Oryctolagus cuniculus: one gene and its partners. The protein of the gene in region 1 interacts with the protein of each later gene in a pairwise test. Links are inferred from orthologs where the notes say so. Each region holds a gene or a part of one and is shown in the gene's direction. Other genes may lie near its edges. The genes, in order: NUFIP2, GRN, FBLN5, PCSK5 and EFEMP2.

Region 1 (3,512 bases):
TCCCAAGGCTTATGAGCTGGAGAAACGGACTAGTCCTCAAGTTCTGAGTAACATTCTAAAATCTGGGACTACTAATGAGAGTGGAGCCTTATCCTTGGAACCCAGTCATATAGGTGACCTGCAAAAAGCAGACACCAGTAGTCAAGGTGCTTTAGTGTTTCTCTCAAAGGACTACGAGATAGAAAATCAAAATCCTCTGGCCTCTCCTACGAACACTTTGTTGGGCTCCGCCAAAGAACAGAGATACCAGAGAGGCCTAGAAAGGAATGATAGCTGGGGTTCTTTTGACCTGAGGGCTGCTATTGTATATCACACTAAAGGTAACTTCATTTGTTTCTTATACAAAGATTCTTACTGTCTAATTTATTTTTATTTGTATTAAGAGTAAATTTTGAAAACTATGAGCTGCTTTGCAAAGGTTAATTGAGAATGACAATGTGGATAAGAACCCAATATCAAACTCTTTAATTCAGGGTCTTTGGAAATAGTATGGTTAAACTTGAGAAAGAATGAATGTTCGTTTTTTCCTACTTAAAAACATTATCTTATATGGACAAGTATAAATTAAAGAGAGGTAGGCAGTGCCTGCCCAGAAGGGTGACATTATATTATCTCATGAGTTCTTCAAAAATTTTTTTCTTTGGGTATATGTTCCCTGTCTCTTATTTTTTGTATTATATGCTTAATTCCAAAGTCATTTAATATTTTTAATTTGCCTAAAATGAATAAGAGCAGTATTTTTGAAGAAGGGTCCAAAAAAGATGGAGTATCAAACTTTACATCTTTTATAAGAAGGAATAATGTGTGCTGAATAGTAACCAGAAAATAAGTTAAATCCTTAATGCAAATAGTGAGGTGTAACAAATGATATTTATAAACTTTTTGCTTTTTAGGACAGTGGTTTTTAATCTTCATACCTTTTCCACCTTTGTTCCCATACCCATGTCTGCATGGACACAATTAATAGATACTGCACATTCCCATTTTTAACATGGCCGTTTAGGCATGATTTGGAACTGCTGGGAAGAATATGCATATCAGATTGTGGGTATGAGGTAATTACCATATTTTCCCTGGAAGAAATCATTGCATCAGAGATGAATAACAAAGCTTTTTATGTGACTTGAGCAAATTTCTTAATCTTACATACCTTTCCTTCTCTGTGAACAAAAACATTTATTTGGTACAATGAACTAAATTGATCTTTTCCTTAAAAAGTGGAAAGCAGTAGAATTGCCTTATGGACGTTAAGGGACAAGAATTCTGGCAGGTAAAATTCACCTGCCTTCACTTGTTCTCTAGTTCTGCTCTTGGGAACTAACCATGAGGTTTACCCTGGAACTGGATTTATTTTTTTAGGGCTGTAAGGGCAAAAAAGAAATACTTAGTTCTATTTAAATTAAATTCTACTGGGAGGGTAGGGTGTCATTTTCTGTGCCATCTGCCCTTCAAATAATGTTATTGGAAAATGTTTACCAAAGTGTCTAGTGGTGGTCATTGTGTAGGCCTGAGAAGATATTTGGTTGTGTTATATTCTGCTACCTCAAAATTTGTGGGATCTGTTCTACTAGGTAGTTGATTAGTTGTTTTATGTATGATTCTCTTTTTTATTATGTGTAATTGTAGGCCTTTTTAAATGAGAGCATTAGTTTGTATTCCAGTTATTCTGTGTGCATTCCCTATATATGGGCTAACTAAAATCAGTGATTCAGATAAACTAAATGTGCCATATAGATGCAAATGTGTTTAGTTTTGCTGGTATTACTGAAAAGATTTTCTTTAGTAAGTTTGTGTATTAAAATGAATCAGGTTGATATTGATTGTTTTTCCCCTGGAACAACAGATAATGTTCAGTTTGGGTTCCAGAGTGGCAAGTTCTTTGAATTGCTGCCAAGTGTTGATTGGTCCATTAGTGATCAATTGGTTCGTTAGTTTTCCCTTTACTTGAATTGGTTTTAAGTTAACCTTTTGATCATCTGAATAACTTTTTATTTTTTTTTAAAGATTTATTTATTTATTTGAAAGGCAGAATTAAAGAGAGGGCTCACTCACCATATGGCTGTGACAGCCAAAGCTGTGCAAGACTGAAACCAGGAGCCAGGAGCTTCTTCCAGGTCTTCCTCGTGGATACAGGGGCCCAAGCACTTGGGCCATCCTGTGCTGTTTTCCCAGGCACAGACCTCTCTCTCTCTCTCTCTCTCTCTCTCTCTCTGTGCCTCTCCTCTCCCTGTGTAACTCTGACTTTTTCCAGGCTGAATCACAAGTGGAACAACCATGACCGCTACACCACGGCACCGGCCCCTAAGAGCATTTCTTTAGGTTATTTAGAGAGAACTGCCTGCTGATTCACTCCCAAGAGGCTGCAATGACTAGAGCTGGGCCAGGCCAGTCTGAAGTCGGGCACTTCATCTGGGTCTCCCATGTGGTTGCAGGAGCCCAAGCACTTGGGCCATCTCTGCTTTTCCCAGGCTATTAAGAGAGCTGGAGCAAAAGTAGAGCAGCCGGAACTTGAACCTGTACCCTTATGGGATGTCGATGTCACAGGCGTCAGCTTTACCTATTACACAATAATGCTGGTCCTGGAGTGGTGCATTTTTAAAAAAAAAAAGATTTCCCCCTATCTCTTTAACACTTTCAAATAAATAAATAATTTTTGTGTTAGGTTTTGTTTTTTAAGGCAGAGCAACAGAGAGGGAAAAACAAATATTCCATCTGCTGGTTCAGTCCCCAAATGACTGCAACAGCCAGGTCTGAGCGAGGCTAATGCCAAGAGCAAGAACTCCATCCTGGTCTCCCACAGGGGTGGCAAGGGACCCTATAATATTAACCATTTATGTGTGTAGTTCACTGGTCTTAAGTAACGGCTTATAACTATCACAACCATCCATCTCAAAAATGTTTTAGAGGCCAGTGCTAAAAAAGGTAAAGCCACCGCCTGCAGTGCCAGCATCCTATATAGGTGCTGGTTCGAGTCCTGGCTGCTCCACTTCTGATCCAGCTCTCTGCTATGGCTTGGGAAAGCAGTAGATTGCCCAAGTGCTTGGGCCCCTGCACTTGTGTGGGAGACCTGGAAGAAGCTCCTGGCTCCTGGCTTCGGATCAGCACAGCTGTGGCCGTTGCAGCCAATTGGAGTGAACCAGCAGATGGAAGTCCTCTCTCTCTCTCTGCCTCTCTTCTTCCTGTGTAACTCTGACTTTCAAGTTAAATAAATAAATTTTAAAAATATATACCTATATAAGCAGGCCAGCACTGTGCCGCAGAAGGTTAAGGCACCATTGCAGTGCCTTATGGGCTCCCATTCCAGTGTTGACTGCTCTACTTCATCCAGCTCCCTTCTGATGCGTCCGAGAAAGCAACGCAAAATGGCTCAAATCCTTGGGCCCCTGTACCCACATGGGAGACCTGGAAGTGACTCCTGGCTTCAGCCTGGCCCAACCCTGGTCTTTACAGCCATTTGGGGAGTGACTCATAAGAGGAAGACCAGTCCTGAAACTGACTTTCAGATAAATAAG
Region 2 (4,299 bases), about 26 Mb from region 1:
GGAAGTGGCCGAGGCCCTTGGAGTAGGAAGAGCAGGCAGGTGGGAGGCAGCCAGGGGTCTGCAGAGGGGCCTCAGCTTGCAACCACGCAGCACCAGGCGGCCGAGGGACCGGGACGCTGGGGTGCCTAGGTGGGGGAGGAGAGAACGGTCTGCGGAGATGGAGGGAGTGATAGCAAACGTGAAAGGGAGGGAGGCCAGGGTGGCTGGGTGAGGGAGCCACAGGCCTGGTCAGGGGCCCGTGGGAGGCTCGGGGAAGGGACGCGTCGGGCCTGACCCCCGGTGGCAAACGTTTCCATGAGCCCGGACGTCTGCCTCTCACGTCCCCTTGTCCCTGGGCGTGGAAGTGCCGCGGGCTCGCTGCAACCACTGGACAAGCTCATTGCAAACCGATTGCACACTTCCTGCCGCCAGCAATCAGGGCAAGGGCACGGCTGCTCAGCCTCACTGCCGGCCTTGGAGAGGGCCGCCTTAGGGCATCCAGGACCTTGTGCCTCTATCGCCGACGTCCCCAGCGCACTGGACTTCTAAGTTCTTCTGTGAGAAGTCTGCCTTCTGCCATTTTCCTATTGAATGCTCTTAATCTGTGCGACCGCTTCTAGAAGCCTCAATGCACACAGCCCCCGATCTTTTCAAAACTGCTTGTTGCTGGGAAACGAGAACATTAAAAAGTGTGCAAACTAACAGAAAAGACGCCCGGTGTGAGGCGAACACACCCCTCACCCCTGAGGCCGTGACAACCCCAAGACGTCTCCAGACGCTGCTGCGAACGTCCCCGGTGGGCAACACTGCCCCCGTTGGGGAATCTCTGCTCTCCTCACTCGCCGTGTCCGCTCCTGGAAGGCAGAGCTGACTGAAGCTAGGAGCCACTTGCCCTCGCTGCCCACCCGCGCCGGGCGCCCCCCTGGCTCCGGGCCTGTGCGATCTCCCAGCGCCCCGCCCCGCCCCCGCTGCGACCCAGGTCCTCGCGGGTTCAGCTCGAGCCACTGCTCCCACGGCCGACTTCAATCCCTCCTTCTCGGGCGTGAGCCACCCTCGCTCCTCTCCCTCCAGCACCTCCACGGCACCCGGCACGCGCGCTGAGCCTGACCCGGCCGCTTAGGCGAGGGTCTGGGAGCTGCCCCTTTCGGCGTCCACAGCCATCCCTCATCTCCCCTCGGGGTTCGGCTGCCCGACCTTTAACGCGAGGCGGCTCAAAGAACAGAAGCGGAGTGCACAAAGCTCCGCCGCCCAGCGCCCGCGAACGCCCGCGAACGCCCCGCAGAGGCGCGGCCGGCCGGCGGTCAGCGTCCACAAATAACGCGGGCCCCTCCTCCCGCACACAACTCCAGGCGCCGGCGGCACGCGGCTGGCTGCGAGGCTGGCAGCGGCAGCCCCGGCCGAGGCGTCATATGATTCCCCAATCACATGATCCCAAGAAAATGGGGTGTGGGGAGAGAGAGGAAGGGGAGGAGGAGGCTGAATTGAGAAAAAGAAACACAGCTTTCCAGGCTGGCCCCGCCTCTACGTCGAGGACTAGCCAATGGGGGCGCGGTATCTGGGATCCCCGGCCAATGGAAACAGAGGAGGGTGGGCCAGCGCGCTGAGGGGCCGGCGTCCGTGAGGGGAGCCGCGGCTGCTGCCCAGGGAGCGCGGACGCGGACGCAGGTAGCAGGGCGGCGGCGCAGGGGCTTGGAGGGGGGTGTGGGCTTAGGGGTCCTCTGGCGTCTCAGCCCGGAGGCGAGAGAAGAGCCGCTTGTGGAAACTCCTTTAGGGGTTTCTGATGCACGGGGGTAGGGGGCGCAAGCAGTCACTGCAGACACCCCCACCCGAGGGGGCTTCTCTGCCTCCCAGAACCCCGGGAGCCGCAGTCCCCCCGATTCTTGAGCCTGCCCCACCGCCTGCAGGCAGGTGCCGGCTCTTCCCCTTCTGGCGGTGAGGGTGGGGGGTGGTCCCTGAAGGGGAGGCCCGCCCGCCCGCCGCTTGTCCCGGGGCGCAGAGGGGCTTGGAGCGGGACAGGGGAGAGGTGACTGAACCCCCGGGTGGAGTCTGGCTCTTCCCCAACTTCCTCTGCCGGGGGGCGGCACGAGCTAACTTCCGCCTCTCCCCGCCACTTTTTCCTGCGCCTTCGCAGTTCACCTTTTGGGGAATTTCCTGGCCCCTTGGCCCTGGGGTTGGGAGTGCCACTTAGCGGAAGGTGCCAGGGGCTTACAGAGGCTCCGTCCTCTCCGGGCCGGGGGTGAGGGTGGGGTGAGGGAGACCCTCGCCCCATCGCCGGGGCTGTGCGCGCCTGCGTGCGTGTGGATTCGCCAGAGCGTGCACTGCACTCCCCCCACTCCAGATACAGGGCGAGGAAGATACGACAGCTAGGTCACGGGCGCCGGGTAGTCCCGGGCAGACAGGCCCCCACCTGGCGGCCTGCGCTGGGGCTGGGCACGGAGAAGCAGGTGCAGGCGGCTGCGCGGGCTCTGCCCGGGAGCTGAGGGGCGAGCGCGGACCTGGGGACTCGGTCCAGGACCAGGCGGCTCGGTCCAGGACCAGGCTGCGGCCGCGAGAGCCAGGGGGTGGCCTTCCAGGTGTGTGGGGGGCCGGGGGGGGGTACTTGAGCAAATGCAGGAAACACTTCCATTCCCTGCCTGTGCCTGGACCCCAGGCCCACCCCTCCCATGGTTTGGGGTCCCTTCCCGGGCCGGCGTGCCCTGAGCCATCAGGGCCCGCTCTCACTGGAGCTGGCACGGGGCTGGACTTCTGCCATAAAGCCTCGGGCTCCAGTTTCCCTCTGAGGGTAAAGGTCGTGCTCCTCACGCTGGATGATGGTTGCAAAGCAGTAAACAACCAGGAGTGCCCCGGCAGGCATGCGGCCCGGCCGGGAGGCAGGGTAGCGCTTCTTGGGTTGGCGGCACAGGCCCCGAGCCCGGGGAAAGACTTGTGTGGGTAGCAGGAGGCGGCTTCCCCCAGGAGCCTGTGGCCGGTTCCTCCCGCTGACTCAGATGGGCCGCCCAGCGGGCGCAGTAGCCTCTGCCCACATGTGGCTGCTTCATTTCCAGCAGAGGAGACATGGGGATGGGTGATGTGTTTGGGGACTTGACAGGGCCCTTGGTGGTGTTGGGGGCCCTCAGCACACAGGGATCTGGAAGCTGCCCTTGCCTCCGTGTCTCCTGTCCTGGGTGGGGTGGGGACCGCCGCGGGCAGCAGTGAGGGAGCCCTGGGGAAGACACCCGAGTCTCCACTGGCTGCCACTTCCTGTTTCACAACTTTTCTTAACCCTGTGGCGTCCGTGTCAGGAAGTGACCACTGGGCCCTGCGAGACCACAGCAAGGGCAGGTGTGGGTGCAGCGTTGGGAGGACTGGCTGAGGAGTGGGGAGCCTTGGATGTTCCTGGAGAAGCCCCTCCTGTACCCCAGCCCCATCCTCTCCCCTGGCCCTGAGCCCCCCCCCCCGAGGTGGCCCACGTCTCCACACATCACATCCACAGAATCCACACTGCGTCTCACAAGCCCGCGTCTGCACACTCGCACACGGAGACGCAGGAGTGTCACGTGCTTGGAACATGCAATGACACACAGGGAGGAAGCTGCGTCCGAGCCACACGTTTCTGCGTCGGGACGGAGCTGGGAGGCAGGCTCCAGGTCTCCCGGGCCTGGACGTCGGCCTGGGGCTGCCTGAGCGAGCGGCTTCAGACTCTGAGGCGGCCTGGACTTCAGCTGGTTGACAGGTGCCCGTTGGTGTTCGCAGGCAGACCATGTGGGCCCTGGTGAGCTGGGTGGCCGTCATGGCAGGGCTGGTCGCTGGAACACAGTGCCCCGACGGTCAGCGCTGCCCCGAGGCCTGCTGCCTGGACCCTGGAGGAGCCGGCTACAGCTGCTGCAGCCACGTGCCGGTGAGTGCCCGGCTAAGAGCCTTCCCAAGGCGGGCAGAGGCCTTCGGTCTATTCTCTGGCCTCTCTTTGCAGGACAAATGGCCCCCGACACTGAGCAGGCGTCTGGGCAGACCCTGCCAGGTGGGTGCCCACTGCACCCACGGCGCCTCCTGCGTCCTCACCGTCTCGGGCACCTCCAGCTGCTGCCCCTTTCCGGAGGTGAGGGCACCGCTTATGCAGTGGAGGGGCTCGGAGCTGCCTTTGCACTTTGCCTGCCTGCCTCCCGCCCCCCGCCCCCTCGGGTAGGAGGGCCATCCCGACGCAGGCGCCTCTGTGTCCCACAGGCTGTGTCCTGCGCGGATGGCCGTCACTGCTGCCCTCGGGGCTTCCACTGCAGCGCGGATGGGCGAGCCTGCTTCCGGGCGGCAGGTGCGGCAGGGGCACAGGGGAGGGCCGGTGGGCCC
Region 3 (3,512 bases), on another chromosome or scaffold:
GTGAACCTTCCTTTGGTGGGGAGGGGTGGGGTAGATGCCTGTGGAGCTTACGGATATTACCACTGTCATGCCATCATCACAGTTCTTTAAACTTCATTTATAAGAGAGGTGGAGAAAGAGCTCCGTCTACCATTTCACTCCCCCTCAATGCCCACGATGGCTGGGATTTGGCCAGGCCACAGCCAGGAGCCAGGAGCTCAATTCTGGTCTCTGAGATGGGTGGTAGGGACCCAGTTACTTAACAGGAAAGTGGAGTCAGAAGCCAAAGCCAGGAGTCGAACTCAGGCACCCGGATGTGGGACGTGGGCATTGTAACCCGCATCTCGGCTGCGGGGCCGAATGCCTGCCCCAGCACTGTGTGGCTCTTGGCTGTGCCTTTCAGGATTTTATCTGGGGCTTCCTGCCCTCAGGGACTTTCTCCTAAGCTGGGAAGTGATGAGGGAAGGCTACTCTGCCCTAGTTAGAAATCGTACTAAAGAGAAATGAGCACTTTTGCCTAGAAGAGAACGTTCCAAGTCTCAAATGTGGACTAATAGGTCCAGACAGACATCGCATCCTCCCAACACCTTATCTCCGTCTCTGCCCGCCACGCCTCTGCTCGCCGTGACCTCTGCCTGCCACGCCCCCTCTGCTGGCCGTGACCTCTCCTTTCACTGCTGAGGGGTCCGCCGTCACCCACCGAGGATGGCGTCCTTGCAGTTGGCATTGGCTCTCTGATCTTTCTGTTTATTTTTACTGGAGAGCTCTCTTCCTTCCCTCTCCTCTGGTTTTGGGCTCAGCCAAGGGAATGAATTCATAGGAATATCCAGCTGTCACTTCAAGTTCTATTTCTAGGGTGTGATTTCTATGCTGTGTTTTCTTGGAAAAGTCCTGCCGGTTTGAGTTGTCTAAGACACTGTTCTGTGGCCTGAAAGCCGGTGCCGGAGCAGCAGAGAAACCGATCCAAGCAGCATCATGGAAACAGAACAGAACAGAAACTGCTTCTTTCCAAGGCTGGCTTGATTGAGGCAGAAATCGGGTCCACCCTGGAGGCCTGACCGACCAGCCCGGCTTGGCTTCCTCTGCTTTCCAGACACGCACGGCAGAGTGGTGCATGCGGATGTCTGAGGATATGACAGTCGCAATGCATGTAAACCGACCTCTGTGCCCGTGGGGAGTTGGATACTATTGATGTGAACATACGCAGATCCCTGGGAGGGGGCTGTTTGTATAGGAACTGCATCTGTAGAATGCCAGAGCTGGAAGGGATGTAGATCTTATGTCAGAGTTGGAGACTGCGACTCAGAGAGGAGGGACAATTTGGACTACGTTAAAGTGAGTGGGTTGAGTCTTCAAGTCTCCTGGTCCTCAGGCCAGTGTTCATTTCCACCACAAGGGGCGCTAGGGAGGCAGAGGCAGCCAGGATACCCCTGGCCCCCAGGATAGACTTTGAGGCCAGGAACCTCCTTAGGCTCTAGGACCTTCCTCTGCCTGGGAGGGATATTCTCTTCCACAGAGCACAAGAGACCTTTATTCCTTATGGCTGAACACATGGCTTGCCCTGGTCAAATGCGTCTTTCTCTTCTAAAATACAAGTGCTACCCACTACCCGCTCCAGGCACCTAGGGAGGCCTTGCTTTTGCAGAACAAGGGACAGGTGCCCAGCTGCACCTGGGGAAGAGGAGCAACTGTACAGGCAGTGGGCTTGCCGTCCTTCTTTTTTATTTTATTTTATTTCTTCATGTGAGAGGTAGGGTTACAGACAGGGAAAGGGAGAGACAGAGAAAAAGGTCTTCCATCCACTGGTTCACTCCCCAAATGGCTGCAGTGGTTGGAGCTGAGCTGATCTGAAGCCAGGAGCCAGGAGCTTCTTCCACTTTGTTTGTTTGTTTTTAAAGATTTTAACCAATAGGCTTACGTCGCACAGTGGAATGCCTGGTTTGAGTCCTCTCTCCTCCATTTCCAGTCTAGCTTCCTGCTAATGCCCTGGGAGACATAGGTGATGGCCCATTGGGCCGCTGCCACCCTGTGGGAGACCCAGATGGAGATCCCTGGCTCCTGGCTTCAGCTTGGTGCAGCCCTGACTGTCGCAGGCATTTGGGGAATGAACCAGCAGATGGAAGATCGATCGATCGATCGATCTTTCTTGCTCGCTCGCTCGCCTGTCTCTGCCTGTCTCTGTCATCTTTCAAATAAAATGAAAATAAGTAAATAATTGAAAAAGAAGTAAGTGGACCTTAGAGATAAAAGAGAGCCTAGGGGCAGGGCACGGGATCCGAGAAGGGCTGAACAACGGGACAGGGGAGCTGGGGTCCTTTCTGGCAGAGAGACCAAGGTTCTGAGTCAGGGGCCAGAGCCCTGGATGGCTGCACCCTGGTTCCGTGGAACTGGGGTCCAGGGAGGGAATGCGGGTGGCGTAGGGTGAGGAAGGATGAGTTAAGGACCAGCTGCAGCCACCGGCAGGGCAATGGGCCTCCACGGGAGCTGGTACAGGTGAGGACTCTGTCTCCCCCTGGAGGCTGGTGGTTCGTTCCAGGCGCCCGGCCTCGGAGGAGTGAGTTCCCCAGGCTGTCAGCTCCCGGGGTTGAGAAGCGCTTTGCTGACAGTGTCAGGCGCCGGTGTCAGCAGGGTCCCTGTCGCGCAGCTCTGCTGGAAGGATCCACTCAGCCACAAGGCTGCTGCTTCCCTGGAAGGCAGAGTGGCTTGAAGACATTTTCCATCTGCTCTGGTGCAGGAGAGAGCCAAGGTGAACCGCAGCATCCTGAGTTCCTGGACTTGGGTCTTCGGACCGTGGTGCCTCCCAGGTCATGGTGGCCTGCACTAGCTCCTCAAGCTGAACGTGCAGTGGCCGGGAGCCTTTGGCAGCGGTGTTGTGGCTGCTGCTTACGTGTTAAGCTCACCTGTCCCTTCTCAGGGCAGTGAAAAAGTCATAGAGAGTCTTGGAATTGCATCTTAAGACTTGGGTAAAATCTGAGAGGGCCTCTTACCCAGTCCCACTCAGCAGAAATTCCTTCTGCGACCATCGACCTGCAAGAAGGGCTCAGGTCTTCAGGGACCAGGTGGTTCAGGGAGATGAGCCTTTGTCGGGAGACTGAGCCTTGAAAGCAGGGAGCATCCTGGCACTTAGTAGGCATGGTTTTAGCACTGGCTGCCTCCTCTGCTTCCTTGTCCGACCCTGCTCCGGAAGAGATGGGCATTAATGCCACGCTGGCGGTGGCATCGGCAAGAGAGACGGAGACCCGTCTCACCCTGCCTGTGTTTCTGTTTCCAGACATTGATGAATGTCGCTATGGTTACTGCCAGCAGCTCTGTGCGAATGTTCCTGGATCCTATTCCTGTACATGCAACCCTGGTTTTACCCTCAATGAAGATGGAAGGTCTTGCCAAGGTAGGTGACGTGCGAGATAACTTGGACAAGATGCAAAGCCCCAATGCAAAGCCCTGTTGTTATTCTGCATTCCTGTCCCCTGTCCCAGCCCCCCTCCCACTGCACTGCTTACAGAAACCCGACACCTGCACTGAGCTCCATGAAC
Region 4 (3,512 bases), on another chromosome or scaffold:
GTGATGGTGACCCCCTGAAGAGTCTATCACCTAGCAACATCCCAGCTCTCTTAGCCTGTGCAAGTGGAGCCTGTGGTATTCTCACAATGACAAAATAGCCCAACACTTAATGCTGTTAAATGGTGTGTGTCTGTAGTGCAATTTGAAGAGTGGCATGCTAAGAAAAATCAGAGACAGGGAAGCAAATATTTTAGATTTTAAATAAAGTGAAATTCTTGCCCTCAGAAACTAATTTTCCCGAAATCATTTCTTTCCCACCATTTTCCTCCCCCATCTGCCCCGGGGGTTGTCTTCCAACAGATGAGTGCATCCTTCGAAGGCGTGAGGTGGGACCTGCAGCTCAGAGTTCCAAGCCGGCCCTGTTTATCAGCTCCTCAGTCATGCTGCTGCTGCTGCTCGGGACGGCTGCGATCGTTTGGAAGAAATCTCGGGGCCGAGTCCGGCCAGCAGTAAAGGCTGGCTACGAGAAGCTGGCGGATCCTACTCGGTCTTACTCGGCCCGTAAGAGCAGCTATCTAGAGAGCACTAGCTTTGAAGAGGATCAGGTAATCGAGTACAGGGACCGGGACTATGATGAGGATGATGATGACGACATCGTCTACATGGGCCAAGATGGCACCGTCTACCGGAAGTTTAAGTATGGGCTGCTGGAAGAAGAGGAGGACGATCAGCTGGAATACGATGATGAGAGTTACTCCTTCCGGTAAACAGAAGACACGGCCATGCCCCGCCCCCGCTCCCGCCCATCCCCCTTCCAGGAATGCCTATGGACACCCCTGATTCTGCTTTGACCCGCACACCAGGCTGATGTGCAAGTGTCTGTATTTGTCTTTTGAATCTTGAGTCCAACTGGAATATCTAAGAATACTTAGAAATGATTTTGTTCTTTTGTGTGGCTAAATTCAATGAACAGTCTCTATTCCACCATAATTTCAGAGCGAGGATAAAACGCAAAGGCATTTTCCCAGAACAGAACAGCATGTCAAAGCACAAGATGCAGGAAGTGAAAACGAGTGACATTTGTCCAAACTCCTTGATGAGATTAAAACAAAGCAGTGGACTTTAGGAATTCTGTTTCCAAACTGCATTGTGGCGATTTCTTTATCTGCTGAGATTTCTTTATCTCATTTGGGAGGATGAGAAAGTAGAGAGTGCTGGTTTGGTGGGGAGTTTCTCTCTCTTTTTACAACTGTCTTCAGGCAAGATTTGTTTTGTAAGGGTGCAGATGAGAAGGTTCTTATCAACTGCTCCACAACCCCCCTGGTGAGCAGCAGAGTATCTCAGACAGGGCGCGGTGGACCTATTTACAGACGTGGAAGGAAAGGAGAAGGAGCAACCTACGGAGGGAACCATGAGGGGACTCCAGGCTCTCGCCCCTCTTCCGTAAGGAGGTCACTATGATCCTAAAGGCAGCATGAGTTGGGTCAGAAGACAGGTAGCAGCAAGCCCAAAGAGAAAGTAATCACTAAGTTCCCAACAATTACATCCTCAAGATTTTCAAAGAGCTTTGCTGGTAAGAAATACTAAAATTTTTTTAAATGGCACTGTTAACCTAACAAAATTAGGTAAAATGACCAAAACAAAACAAAAAATCTTTATCCACTCTAGTAAAACAGGAAAACAAAAACAGGACATGGCAACCACATCAGAGGAGTGCCTATCAACAACCCTTCCTGGAACTGGGGCTCCCCACGGAAAAGCTGGACCAGCGTCTTGCACAGCACAGTCCTGGTGTCCCGCTCCCAAGCTGCCATCCAGCTGCCCACCAGCTCTCCAGTGTTCGTCAGAACATGATTTTGTGTCTACACTGTCTGGGCTTCCTTCTCCACTCTCCTGTCAAGCGTGCTCTTAGATTCATGCCGTCTGCATCAGTTTTTCCACCGATACTAATAGAGAGGGGTCCTTACTATGTAAAATTATGTGAGGGACCTGCACTGTGGCACAGCAGGTTAAGCCAGCACCTATGAGACAGGCTTCCTGTATCAGAGCAGTGGTTCAACTCCCAGCTGCTCTGCTTCCAATCTACCTTCATGTTAATGCACCTGGGAAATTAGTGGGTGGTGGCCCTGCCATCCATATGGGAGACTTGGATGAAGCTCTTGGCTCCTGGCTCCTGGCTTCAGCCTGGCTCAGCCATGGCTGTTGTGGCCAATTGGGAAGTGAAAGTTATACAAAAGATCTCTCTCTCTCTCTCTCTCTGTCTCTTCCCCGCCCCCAGCTTTCTGCCTTTCAGATAAATAAATGAATGAATAAATAAATCTTTTAACAGTATGTATGTGAGCAGTGTCTTACAGGTTTCCTTTATCAAAGAAGTTATAGGCTGTATTAGGAATAGAACATCAGAAAGTGAAAGTAACATTTTCAGATGATGGTAATAATAAAAAATTTCATTACAAACATACTGTGCATGCTATTAGTTACCACGCTAAATAATTTCTCTGAAAATAGTCACTCAACTTATCCATTTAATCCCATAATGTTATGAGATTAGTATAATTATGATTCCATTTTTATAGAAAACCTGAGGCCTAGAAAAGGTTAAGAGCTATGTCTCAGGTTCAGAGAAAGTTAAATCAAGATTCAACAGAAAAAGAATTGACTTAAAGAGTATGCTTCTACAGTTCACTGACATAGGGTGGGAAAATAATTATTCTACATTTAGTAAAGCCATGGCTATTATTTTATAAGGTATCAATATCCTTCTGGCAACGACATTATTCATTATTCATAAATTCATGTCTTTTTGTTTGTGACATAATGTGTCATTGACGAAGGAAATCTCCACTAAGAAACCTTCAGTTTACTGAGGATCTGTGTTTCTTTGGAGCAAAGGTCTTAAAATTAAGTTTGGCAAACATTCTCTGGAAAATCTAGATAGTAAATCCCTTGGGCTTTGTAACCCAAAAGTTCTGTTTCGCATCCATTCCATTGTAGCATGGGTGCAGCCAGAAATAAAGAATGGGTGGGCTGTCTCACAAAACTTCACTTATGAACAATGAAATTTGAATTTTAGATTATTTTCACCAATCATAAAATTGTGTTCTTCTTTTGATATATTTCATCCATTTAAAAACACAAAAACTGTTCTTTACTCATGGCAGTACAAAATCAGATGATAGGCCAGAATTGGCCAATACTGTAGCTTACTGGCTTTGTCCTAAAAGAAAATTCTTCAAAGATCACGTGTATCACACACACATGTGATGTGACTCAAAATTTTTGATCATTTAAAATTAATTCTTCAGGGCGGGCGCCATGGCTCACTTGGCTAATCCTCCAGCTGCGGCGCCGGCACCCTGAGTTCTAGTCATGGTTGGGGTGCTGGATTCTGTCCCTGTTGCTCCTCTTCCAGTCCAGCTCTCTGCTGTGGCCCAGGAGGGCAGTGGAGGATGGCCCAGGTGCTTGGGCCCTGCATCTGCATGGGAGACCAGGAGGAAGCACCTGGCTCCTGGCTTCGAATCGGCGCAGCACTGGCCATTTTGGCCATTTGGGGGGTGAACCAACAGAAGGAA
Region 5 (4,254 bases), on another chromosome or scaffold:
GAGTGCAAGGTGTCCAAGGCTCAGCCCCCTGGCAGCCTGTGTCGGGCTGGGTTCCTGCTCACGCCTGGACAACCCTCCACGTGGGGGTGTGCTACCCACTGGTTGACTGACCCTGGTGGGGTTGCTGCTACATTCCAGCGCTCTGAAGCCCGCAGCGCGGTGCTGCTATGAGCAGACTTTCGGTGAGTAGCTGTCGCCCGTCCAGTCTCTGGGGAGGGGCGGGTGTGTACCTTTCGCCCGTCCGGTCTCCCGGGGCGGGTGTGTACCTGTCGCCCGTCTAGTCTCCCGGGCGCATACCTGGGAGCGAACCTGCCTGGTAACATCTGGGGACACAGCCGGATGATGTTAGCAGCTGCAGCCTAGGAGGGCTGCGAGTTCTCCGCACCCTCGCCAACACTCGTGAACGCTTGGTTTTCAAGAATTCGGACTTCGGGCTTTCTTGCCCCAGCCCCTGGGCAGGTGGTAGGAATGCATCAGCCTGAGCCCCACCGGGTCAGTTGGGGGCGATCGGGGGGTCAAGCAGGGATGGGGAAGGGACGGGAAGACCCGACTGTTCCCTCTCGCAGCCTGCGGGGTGCCGGGAGCCCTGCACACGCGGCCCTTTCCCGTCTGGCCCAGCCCTGAGACGTGGGCAGCGCGAAGCCCCGCCCCTTCCTGGGAGTCGAACCCTCCCGGGCTCCGCCCCGGCCACGCCCTCCGCTGGGGGAGGGGTCGGAAGCCGAGTGGGGGGCGCGGGCGAGAGGAGGGTCGCGAAGGCGTTGGCACCGGAGCCTGGCGTCCCTGGCCCCCGAGTGCACCCTGTCCCTGCTTCGCGGGGGCCTGCCATTCATTTGGGGCCAAAAGGGACCTGCGCCCCCGCCCCCGACCTCGGCTTGGAGGGCTGAGCGCGGGGGCGGGGGAGGCCGTGCAGGAGCGCAGGGACCACCTGGCGGGAGATGGCGGGGCGGGGGGGGGGGTAGAAGGGAGAGATGGGCAGCTCTGCTCCCGGGACCCGGGAGCGTCTCGTGCCGGGGCGAGGGTCGGGGGCCCGGGGTGAAGTTTTGGGGACGTCTGGAGTGACGGTCTGGGGGCACAGAATACAATTCTGGGGGGGTCGAGTGAGGGGATGGAGGCCCCAGGGCTGGGTGGGGCCTCGGATCCTACCTTCGGGGAGGCTCAGAATGAGGGTCTGGGGGTGCGGGACTGAGCAGTGGGTGCGCAGAAAGGAATTCTGCGCGCGTAGGTAGCAGCCAGGTGCGCGGGATGACGTTTCTGATGAGGGCCTGCCCCCCCCCCCGAGTGAGTCTGGGGGCTTGGCATCCAGGTCCATGGCACCACGATCGAGCGCTGGGGGACCCTGGCCCGGCGCCGGGAGGCGGCTCCGGGAGGCGCCGCGGGGGACCGGGCGGGGGCCTGCGGCCGCCGGCCGGGGGCGGAGAAGCGGGGGGTCGGGGTCCCTCCCCCTGGCGCGGGCTCAGGAATCCGCCGAAGGGCGGGCGGAGGCGCCGGGGTGGGCCGCACCGCGGCGGGCGGGCGGGCGGGGGGCGCTTCCTGGGGCCGCGCGTCCAGGGAGCTGCGCCGTCCGCCCGTCCGTCCGCCCGCAGGCACTGTTGGAGCCGCCGGAGCCGCGGGGGCGTCGCGGCCGAGTGAGTGGCGGCCCGTGGGAGGGGGGCGCGGGCCGGAGTCTCGGCAGAGTCGGCGGCCGCCGGGCCGAGAGGCCCGCACCGCCAGGGAACCGGGCGGGGGCGGAGTGGGCCCGGAACCCGGGCCTACGAAACGAGTGGGCCCCGGGTCCTGCGGGGCTGCAGGGCCCCAGGCTCGGACCTGAGCCGGAGCTGGCGGGGCCGGGGCCCGGTGCGGGGGGATGGGGCGGCCGTGGCAGAGGCCCCTGACCCGCCCGCCCCCTCCCGGCCGCAGGATGCTCCCCTTCGCCTCCTGCCTCCCTGGGTCTCTGCTGCTCTGGGCGCTGCTGCTGCTGCTCTTGGGGGCAGCGTCACCGCAGGACTCCGAGGAACCGGACAGCTACACGGTGGGGACAGCGGGGGCGGGTGGCCTACCACTGGGAGACCAGGGTCCCCGGAGGCTGTTCTTGGGGGAGATTCGCCCCCCCAGCCCGGCCGGTAGAGCAGCTGGGGGCCGTTGTTTGGAACAGACTGGGAGGGTGGCCCAGGCTCAGGCCCTGCTATTGGCCTGGCCAGTTGGAGGGGACCCTGGGTGACCACTGCAGCCTCCGGTTTCCTTCCAGGAATGCACCGATGGCTATGAGTGGGACCCAGACAGCCAGCACTGCCGGGGTGAGTGTGACAGGGGGACCAGCCCCCCAGGAGCAGGGACCAGAGCCCAGGGGGCCTGTGCTCTACCCAGCCCAGCAGGGCAGGGCGGCCCCTCCCTCTCCAAGAACCCCGGTAACCCTGTCCCCCCCCCCCGGGGTAGATGGGAGAGCCACTGGGGGAGCCCCGGAGCAGCTGGTCCCATGGAAGGCTTTGCCCCATCGCAACCTGGGAGGGCGGTGTCCACGGGGGGGGGGGGGGCTGCAGATCACTGCCCGGCTGAGCCAGGGCCAGGACCCCCTTGGAGGCAGCGTGGGGGCAGCAGTGGCAACCCCTTCCCCACTTCCAGCCTGTGGCGGGGCCGTGTGGAGGGGAGGGGTCCTGGGTACACCAGGCTGCCTCAGCTTGTGGAGCTCAGGGAGGGCCAAGCGGGCTCCTGCCTCGCCCCCCCCGCCCCGCCCGGGGCCGGCCCCCCTCCCGGGACCGGCTGTGCCGAGCAGGCCGCCTCCCGCAGATGTGAATGAGTGCCTGACCATCCCCGAGGCCTGCAAGGGCGAGATGAAGTGCATCAATCACTACGGGGGCTACCTGTGTCTGCCGCGCTCCGCTTCCGTCATCAACGACCTGCACGGCGAGGGCCCCCCGCCGCCTGTGCCCCCCGCTCAGCACCCCAACTCCTGCCCGCCAGGCTATGAGCCCGACGAACAGGAGAGCTGCGTGGGTGAGTCCCTCTGGGCCCGGGCGTCCCATGCTGTCGCCACGCTTCTCGCAACTTGGGCTCGCGTTCTTGCGTTGCTCCAAGCCCTTACTGATGGCTCCTGGGGGCCACCAGGGGCTGCCCGGCCCCTCATCCAGGCCCTCGCTGTGTCCGGGGCCAGTCCCAGGGGACCCTCCCCTCACGTGCTGCAGAGACCCTGCAGGAGCCTTGATCTGGACTGCACCCCTGGAAGCCGCGGGCCCTGGCGGGGGGTGTCCTGGGATCAGGGTCGCTGGGGGCTGAGGGTGTGGACAGAGCCTTGTCTCCTGCTGCCTCCCAGGCTGGTGGGCGGGTGGGAGGGGTCTCCTGTGCCCTCGTGGTGGCTTCTGGACTGCGTCCTCCCACGCTGGGTGCCTGCCTCGCCGGATGGCGTGAGCGACCCCAGGCGGAGGCTCAGGGGTGTCTGCTGCAGATGTGGACGAGTGTGCGCAGGCCTTGCACGACTGTCGGCCCAGCCAGGACTGCCACAACCTGCCTGGCTCGTACGAGTGCACCTGCCCGGATGGCTACCGCAAGATCGGGCCGGAGTGTGTGGGTGAGTGCGGCCAGCAGCCTGTCTGTTCCTGAGCCCCCAACTCCAGCCCACCCCCGGGCGTCACCCCAGCCCCCGGCCCCCTCTGCCTTCCTGCCATCAGACACAGAGGACTGCATGGACACCGTGTGTGTGCGCATGCGCATGTGTGTGTGTGTGTGTGCCTGTGCGTGCGTGCGTCCTCTGGCTGGCTGGCCCCGTCCAGCTGCCCAGAGACATCCGGGTCTGTGGGCAGTGAGGCCTCGAGTGGGGGCCCCACTGACTGGCGCCTTCCGCGGCCTCCCTCCCCGCCGCCGTCGCAGACGTTGACGAGTGCCGCTACCGCTACTGCCAGCACCGCTGTGTGAACCTGCCCGGCTCTTTCCGCTGCCAGTGCGAACCGGGCTTCCAGCTGGGGCCCAACAACCGCTCCTGTGTGGGTGAGGCTGGGCCAGGCCGGGCTCCTGGGGCCCCCGGGGCTGGGAGGTATGAGCTGGGGGAGCGCCCTTGGCGGCCAGCCCAGACTGCCCCTCTGCTTTTGTCCCGGCACCCCCAGATGTGAACGAGTGCGACATGGGCGCCCCGTGTGAGCAGCGCTGCTTCAACTCCTACGGGACCTTCCTGTGTCGCTGCCACCAGGGCTACGAGCTGCACCGCGACGGCTTCTCCTGCAGCGGTGAGCTCAGCCCTGCGCGGGCTCCCCCAGCGGCGGCCAGGGTGCCCCCACGTCCCGTCCA

What was found.
Region 2: the proteins of NUFIP2 (region 1) and GRN interact in binary tests that used the Homo sapiens proteins (3 or more experiments, as listed by UniProt). The link is inferred for Oryctolagus cuniculus from reciprocal best matches to the Homo sapiens genes NUFIP2 and GRN.
Region 3: the proteins of NUFIP2 (region 1) and FBLN5 interact in binary tests that used the Homo sapiens proteins (3 or more experiments, as listed by UniProt). The link is inferred for Oryctolagus cuniculus from reciprocal best matches to the Homo sapiens genes NUFIP2 and FBLN5.
Region 4: the proteins of NUFIP2 (region 1) and PCSK5 interact in binary tests that used the Homo sapiens proteins (3 or more experiments, as listed by UniProt). The two-hybrid records come from large-scale screens. The link is inferred for Oryctolagus cuniculus from reciprocal best matches to the Homo sapiens genes NUFIP2 and PCSK5.
Region 5: the proteins of NUFIP2 (region 1) and EFEMP2 interact in binary tests that used the Homo sapiens proteins (3 or more experiments, as listed by UniProt). The two-hybrid records come from large-scale screens. The link is inferred for Oryctolagus cuniculus from reciprocal best matches to the Homo sapiens genes NUFIP2 and EFEMP2.

What each region holds. Positions count from the first base shown.
Region 1 is NC_091448.1:44,719,259-44,722,770, reverse strand, and holds part of NUFIP2 (FMR1-interacting protein NUFIP2), read left to right. Parts: coding exon 1-320; intron 321-3,512. UniProt on the Homo sapiens protein: Binds RNA.
Region 2 is NC_091448.1:18,942,992-18,947,290, reverse strand, and holds the start of GRN (progranulin), read left to right. Parts: upstream 1-1,491; 5' UTR 1,492-1,644; intron 1,645-3,711; 5' UTR 3,712-3,718; coding exon 3,719-3,856; intron 3,857-3,928; coding exon 3,929-4,054; intron 4,055-4,179; coding exon 4,180-4,264; intron 4,265-4,299. UniProt on the Homo sapiens protein: Secreted protein that acts as a key regulator of lysosomal function and as a growth factor involved in inflammation, wound healing and cell proliferation. Regulates protein trafficking to lysosomes, and also the activity of lysosomal enzymes.
Region 3 is NC_091451.1:37,149,751-37,153,262, reverse strand, and holds part of FBLN5 (fibulin-5), read left to right. Parts: intron 1-3,250; coding exon 3,251-3,367; intron 3,368-3,512. UniProt on the Homo sapiens protein: Essential for elastic fiber formation, is involved in the assembly of continuous elastin (ELN) polymer and promotes the interaction of microfibrils and ELN. Stabilizes and organizes elastic fibers in the skin, lung and vasculature.
Region 4 is NC_091432.1:153,943,574-153,947,085, reverse strand, and holds part of PCSK5 (proprotein convertase subtilisin/kexin type 5), read left to right. Parts: intron 1-300; coding exon 301-707; 3' UTR 708-3,512. UniProt on the Homo sapiens protein: Serine endoprotease that processes various proproteins by cleavage at paired basic amino acids, recognizing the RXXX[KR]R consensus motif. Likely functions in the constitutive and regulated secretory pathways.
Region 5 is NC_091432.1:5,896,439-5,900,692, forward strand, and holds the start of EFEMP2 (EGF-containing fibulin-like extracellular matrix protein 2), read left to right. Parts: upstream 1-1,453; 5' UTR 1,454-1,625; intron 1,626-1,896; 5' UTR 1,897-1,897; coding exon 1,898-2,008; intron 2,009-2,224; coding exon 2,225-2,273; intron 2,274-2,763; coding exon 2,764-2,970; intron 2,971-3,418; coding exon 3,419-3,541; intron 3,542-3,840; coding exon 3,841-3,957; intron 3,958-4,073; coding exon 4,074-4,193; intron 4,194-4,254. UniProt on the Homo sapiens protein: Plays a crucial role in elastic fiber formation in tissue, and in the formation of ultrastructural connections between elastic laminae and smooth muscle cells in the aorta, therefore participates in terminal differentiation and maturation of smooth muscle cell (SMC) and in the mechanical properties and wall integrity maintenance of the aorta.